2 linked regions of the Caenorhabditis elegans genome follow. The protein of the gene in region 1 interacts with the protein of each later gene in a biochemical or structural test. Each region holds a gene or a part of one and is shown on either strand. Other genes may lie near its edges.

Region 1 (3,756 bases):
TTCTCCTAGAGTTCTCCTTTTATTTAAAAACAACACTTGAAAATTGTCTGAAGTATATTTTCAATTGTTTATTTGGTAAATTTGTGTTTCCGATTTTCTGATAATTTATTAAACTTAAAATTTATAATTTATTGTTGAAGTGCCTTATATTAGTCTTGCTTTTTCGAAAAATATTTATTTAATTCACATTGTTTAAAAGTAAAGTAGCGCCAGTGGGGAAAGTGTTATAAACTACTCCTATGGTATCAAAATGGCCGATTAATAAAATACTAATAAAAATTTTCAAAAATATTTTTAAATGTTTTTATTTCTGTCAAAAAGTGACAATTACTCAGTTTTTGGCACTCATAAATTTGGAAGTCGACCAAAAAATGGTTTTCCTACATTTTTTATACTGTAATTTTGTTTTAATTATTTGTATCAAAACATTGTAGGGGTTGGAACATGCGACATTGCTTTGGATTTCCTTAGCATCTATAAATTCCGAAATAATGTTGCCTCTATTTTCGAAACCACCCTTCAAAAGGCCTTTTTCTTCATTGCCTATGCAAATTTGTGCTTCTGAAAATAACATAGGCTTGTACTCACTCTGAAAACATCATAAATTATAAAGATTCTTGAACTCTTACCGTACATCTTTTTTAAGTTTGTGTCTCTGCAGGAAATCTTTATTTTCCGATTCATAAAAGAGTACTGTAATTTTGATAAACTCCCTTTCAATGAAAAACTCCCATTTTTGTAGTAGTACTTTTTTATCATTTTCGACTTGTCACAGAAAAAGAAGTCAATTGAAGTGGAAGGAGCAAGAAGAAAAGGTCCGTTTGTGTAATTGAAACAACCTACTTGTCTCATATGTTATGCAACACGTGTTGTCGTTTTTGTCAATTATTAGTAAAGAAAATAAGTCGGTCGGAAAAATGGAAATTAGTTTGCACCCTGCCATTTTTTCCTTCTTCTTTTCCTCACTCCCCCACAGACTCCCGCCTCCCTTCCTCATTCACAATAATTTCTTCGTGTTTCCAGTAATAACCGCTAGGGGTGAACGAAGAAAAAGAAGAAACACACGTTTAAGCCTTGAAAGCTGAAGCTGCTTCAGGCTCCGCCTTTTAAAGGAAGGAAGCAGGAGGAGTTGCATTATGCATCAGGCTTGATCTTGTTCGGCGAAAATTTCTAGTTATGAGTCATTTTCACTTTCTTTTCGGAGAAGACATTGATTATAGATGTCACATTTTTCTAGACATCATTTTTATAATTTCTAGGTTCTATGTTTTTGTTTAGTTGGAGGATCCTTGTTTTTCCGTGTTCTTCAGATAATAGGCTATTTTTAAGAGTTTTCTTGAATTTTTAAGCTATATTATTTTTGAAAACTCACGACTTAAATATTGCGATCTCAGAATCCTTGTGTGCCTTCCGGAAATCGCATCAAAATTGAACATAATTTTTCATATTTAATACGTAACTGCTATTTCTAAGAGAGAAGGCTCGCTGACATTAATGTTTAAAATGGTGTATTTTCTTTCAAATCGGCTCCATGAATTTGTGAATTTTGTTGTCAGCTCTAACTAGGGTACTCTGTGAATTTAAGTGGAATCGAGTGTATGAAAACCTTGAAAATGTTTTCAAATTTATTAACAATACGGAGTGGGAGCTACAACGGTAGGGTGTCGTTGCGGAGTTCCCCGTGCTGAAAATTTTGAAATTTCCATTTTATGATGGTTTTTTTTCTTTTCAAAATTTTCTTCTGATCATATTAGTGACCCAATTTCCTTGTCAATCTCAATGAATCCTCATTAATATTCGTTTCCTGTTTTTTCTCCAATCTCTCATTTCACCCCAACGACTTGGCTATATATTTTTGTTCTCCTCTTCTGGAATTTTTGAAAATTTTAATTTAAAAATTTTAAATATTTACAGAAATCAAAATGGAGGGTGGTCGAAACTGTGTAATGACAGTACAACAGTGGCAACCTGAATACAATGATATGAACCAGATAAGAGCAATATTCTCGTTACTGTACCTTCTTGTTTGGGTTGGAGCTATTGTTGGCAACACTCTAGTACTTTATGTACTCACTTTTAATCAGGTATTTTTTGTTGAGAAAAATCGACTTTGTTCTCGAGTTTATATGAGAAAAAGTGTTATTTTGTTGAAAAACCTTGGTTATAATTTCTAAAAAAAAATTTTAAATTAAAATTTGTACCATTCCGGAATTTTTTTTTTGAAACAATCAGAATACTACATAGAATTTTTTTTTTCAAAAAATACGAGCGGTTCCCCCTTTTAAGAGGATTTTTGAGGACTTCAACTTTCAGTTTTGAAAGTTCTTAGGCTTCATTAAAATCTTCCGTATCTCTCTTCTCGCATTCAATTCAAAAAAATTGTTTTTGATACTACCATCATCTCAAATTTCCGGTATTTTATTCATCGAATTTCCTAGTGAATCAAGAATCTTTCATACATGATTGAAAGTACAATTACCGAACCACCTCCAGAATTCGTCATTGAGCTCAAAGTGCCCGAAAAGAGTTCATTAAGCTAATTTGCCAACTTCAGGTATCACTGTCAGTTAGGACGGTATTTGTTGGATGTCTAGCTGGTTCAGACCTTCTAATGTGCCTTTTCTCGTTGCCAATTACCGCGATTTCTATATTTTCAAGAGTTTGGGTATTTCCTGCTATATTTTGCAAGTTGATCGGAGTTTTCCAGGTGAGATTTGTATAAGATTTTCAGGATTTATAAATAAATGTCTAGACTCTGAAATACTGTGTATTAATCAGAATAACAGGAGCGAACAGAAATTTGAATTAAAATCAGAAACTTTTCAGGGCGGTACGATTTTTGTCTCATCATTCACATTAACAGTTATTGCTCTGGACAGATGTGTACTAATTCTACGTCCAAATCAGGAGGTAGGCTCTCCCCAAAAAACAGTCCAGAAGTTCTGCAGTAAACTTTTCTGAGCAGATAAAAATTGATGTGGTTTGGAGCCTTCTTTTTCTATGCCTCTTTTCATTATTTTTTCCATGTATTATTGTCGAGAATGTCTTCCAAGTAAAAATCTTCTATGTATTTCTTTGTGTGTTTAAGTACAATATTAATGGAAACTTGTTCTTCTTCAGAATATGATCTTCTGAAAGGCGGGAAAAATAATTAGACTGGTCATTTTATTTTGATCCTTGGACAATCAAGGACTTCAACTTTCCCGTTTTGTAGTCGTTTTTTCAATCGGGAAACTGTGTTAACCTACCTTCCTGTCTTCAAGGCGACCTACGCCTACCCGTTAAAAGCCTTATACCAGGCCGACCGGGGCGTAAGCTTGAAGAAAGGTGATTCTCTAACATGATAACATCCTTTTCATGGCGATCTAAATACCCTTGATACAATTTGATTTTAATTTAAAAATTGCGTTTAAAATAAAATTTTTAATTTAATAATCTATATAATTTGTCTAAATTTTTAAATTGCAGATAGTAAATTTCCCGAGAGCTGTCTTCATTGTTTTCTGCATTTGGCTTCTCGGATACTCTCTAGCACTTCCTGTAGGCATCTACAGCGACATTGCAGTATACGACGAAATTTGCGGCACATTCTGTGAAGAGAATTGGTGCGTCATTTGTCTCATTGATTTGACCAATTATCTTGCATTATTTCTTTTTCACTTCCCATAATTATCCCAATTATTTTCATATATGTTTTCTTGCTCTTCTGTTCTTTAAAAAACGTTAATCACATTTTCAGGCCTGATTTCAATCCGG
Region 2 (3,074 bases), on another chromosome or scaffold:
TTTCCAAAACCAAAATATAAGAGATCTTGGAGAAAACGCGTCAAAAACCAGCATTTGACGTGTACCTCTACAAATTCTTTCACCTGCCAAATGTTAAATTTGATCTACTGACCCACTAAAACACTACTTTTTTTGTTACCAATGACAATTTTTATGCGACTTTGACATTTGGACAGGGAAAAGTTTTTCCATTCTTTAGTTTGAAACCGAGTCCAAAAATTACAAAATTTTCAAGTTTTTATGCCTCGCTAAACTCTCTAAAGAAGTTTAACTTTGAAAGTCAATGAGCCAACGAAAATTTGTTTCCTCTTCTTCGATGATGACGAAATGTGCCCCGAAGTAACTCGATAATCGTGGAAATCTCTACTTTTTTCGGCTCATAAAGCTTCTTTATTTCTTTTTTTGGTTTTCATCGAAAACTTATCGTATCAAAAACTACCAACTTTTTTGAATATTTGTAAGACTACATTTTCTCATCACTTTTACCCTCCACCTCATCGTTCATCACATTTATCTTACTCCCACTTGCTCTTCACATCACTTTTGTGGGTATATCAATTGGTTGGTGTTTTTTATGTGTTTGTGAATGTTTTGGGGAAGGCTGTGCAAAAATATCAGAAAAAAGAAGAACCTACATGCATTTTGAGGTGGTCTTCATTGTGACTGTTCCTCATTTGGTTGAGATGTCTGCGAATATTAAAAATCTTAAAGACTTTTTTGACCAAAACAATGTGGTATTAAAGGGGAAAAGAAAGAAGAACGTATGTCAACAGTTTTCCTAGTTCAGTCCTAGATTTTTTTTTCAAATCAACTGTCACATTTTTAAAAGGTTAGATGTGTTGTGGAAATCTCTACTTTTCAATTAAAGTTTAATAACTTTTGGCTGTATCAAATACGTGCATTGAAACTCAACTGTTCTCACCTTAAAGTTTTCTGATGCGTTTACAGTCGGGACCAACTACTTACACTGAAACATGTTTATCTTAATTAAGCGGAGCACACTTCCTTTTATTCAAAAAACCTCATAATGCACAAGACGCTGTTTGCTTTCTTTCAAGACCGTAATTAGACAAAGTCATCGAGCAGTAGATTTTTCAAGTCAGCTATTTTCTTTATTCCAAAAACTGCATATTTGTAATACTCATGAATTTTTCATATTTTATGGTTACTCAAAATCTACACGTCTTTATTACAATCTCTCGTTGAATTATCGCGTAAAATTACATCTTCCAAAATAGGACCATTGTTGTTTTCAAGTCATAGCATATTTTAACGCGATTTCCGGCCACCTCAACTATGCTCTGCAACGAGTATGACGTGCCCAATAAATATTGGGCTATCCTGTTTTCCCACCACATACACCCTCCTCATAGTTCCCAGAAAAAACTTTTACCGGAATCACGTATACATATAACATCATCTTACCTGAAAAAACATTTCGATGTATCATTTGCCTAGGTTCTAGGATGGGTGGTTGCTCTTGGAGCAAAGGTCATTTTTGTGAGTAGTCCAGTAGATTTGGAAGGGGATACACTGAAATATTCATTTCTTGTTTCAAAGCTACCGTAGTGATCACTTCCGTCTTACTATTTATCTCAAAACTTCTTTTTTTCCACCCCATCCCATCATGCTTCGCAAGAATCTCATTAACAAATGCAAATTTACAACGATGACTATGTACACTATTTAAGATTTGATTGTGTATTCAACGTTTGATCTCCCACCCTCTCATTGCTCCAAAATCCAAAAAGTCATTTTCAGACGATGCGGCTGTTCATCTTGCTTTCGTGTCTTCTCGCGTGGGTCCTCGCAGCGCCTTATATCGATCAGGAAGATGCGCTCCGCGTTTGTAAGTTTTGTCAAAGTTAAAGATTTAGATTAATCATTAATCTTTTTCAGTGAACGCATATTTGGAGCAATTCGGACCCGGCAGTGACAGAGTTTACTATGTTGCCGAAGACGATCATGGGTAGGTCCAGTTTAATTATTTTCTGATAGACATCTTTATTAAGTCAAGTCTTACTGTAGAATAAGTTGCAAATCGCTATAATTAATAATTTACCGAAATACGAGCATTCAGCTAGAATAAATTAGTTGCGATTCAGAAAAAAGTAAACTAATTTTAAAATTTCAGATCAATGAAACGTGGTCTCGGTCCTCGTCCTCTCCGATTTGGATAAACGGTTGCTGCTCGAACGAACGAACAACATGACACAACATTTTCTCTCTTTCCTCTCAATGTAACTTTATACAAAAATGATGTTCCAGACACTCCACAATTCCAATTCCGAAGAAATATCTATCCTCTCCTTTTCTCTTTGAAAACGCTGCAGAAACAATGTTCTTTTTACTCTCTCTCTCTTTTTCTATCTCACTTCCTCTTTTTCTGTTGAACAAATAAAAACAGCTTTCAGTTTGACATTTGACTTTTTATTAAGTTTATGAGTGCCCTTATATTTAAGAATTTTCCAATTGTGCAATTGTACCCTGCAACTGTAATGGTAGAATCCGGGAAAATCAGTCAGGATTACATTAATGAAACAGTTGGTGTCTTCCCTGCAGGGGTTGAACAAACATTATGGATACTGTTTCAAGGATCGTAGTTGCCGTAATAAATCCATTGAGGCGTCTATCTCTTGAATTTCTAACATAATGTGCCGACTATATAGTAATAAAGCTCCTGAAATTGAGTTTTGGGTGCCAATTTTGTAGTTTTGTGGAAAGTGTAATGATCGTTGAATTTTGGTTTTTGATGATTTTTAAGAACATTTTCCGAGAAATTTCGTATGGCAATTAATACATGGAAAAAATCAGTCCTAGGGATTTTATTCACAATAAAACCGAGAATTCCCTAGAATTGAAGATAAAGTAGTACTTATACATAGTTTCCTACCAAAGCCGAGCCGATTGCAAAAGTTTCGAAAAAATAAAATATCCAATTCGGTTTATGATTACCGCGAAAACAGAAAATAACATATTTTGAGCAAAAATTCTAGTGTTTTTCAACAATACATTTTAACGTTAAATTCTTAGTTTGGTCAATTCAGCATTCGGGGCCACAAACTCCTGCTTCG

What was found. The genes of interacting proteins can lie anywhere in the genome.
Region 2: of the proteins of npr-3 (region 1) and flp-21, one has a biochemical effect on the other in vitro, tested with the Caenorhabditis elegans proteins (one study listed by BioGRID).

What each region holds. Positions count from the first base shown.
Region 1 is NC_003282.8:11,458,070-11,461,825, forward strand, and holds the start of npr-3 (Neuropeptide receptor 3), read left to right. Parts: upstream 1-1,914; 5' UTR 1,915-1,922; coding exon 1,923-2,084; intron 2,085-2,554; coding exon 2,555-2,707; intron 2,708-2,826; coding exon 2,827-2,910; intron 2,911-3,468; coding exon 3,469-3,605; intron 3,606-3,739; coding exon 3,740-3,756. UniProt on the Caenorhabditis elegans protein: G-protein coupled receptor for flp-15 neuropeptides. Receptor activation assays suggest binding to predicted flp-15 peptides, GGPQGPLRF-NH2 and RGPSGPLRF-NH2. Likely involved in Gi/Go-coupled signaling pathways.
Region 2 is NC_003283.11:7,791,606-7,794,679, forward strand, and holds flp-21 (GLGPRPLRF-amide), read left to right. Parts: upstream 1-1,761; 5' UTR 1,762-1,764; coding exon 1,765-1,849; intron 1,850-1,899; coding exon 1,900-1,969; intron 1,970-2,134; coding exon 2,135-2,180; 3' UTR 2,181-2,420; downstream 2,421-3,074. UniProt on the Caenorhabditis elegans protein: FMRFamide-like neuropeptide. Involved in modulating locomotion quiescence during the sleep-like state called lethargus which occurs during molting between larval and adult stages, acting via the G-protein coupled receptor npr-1.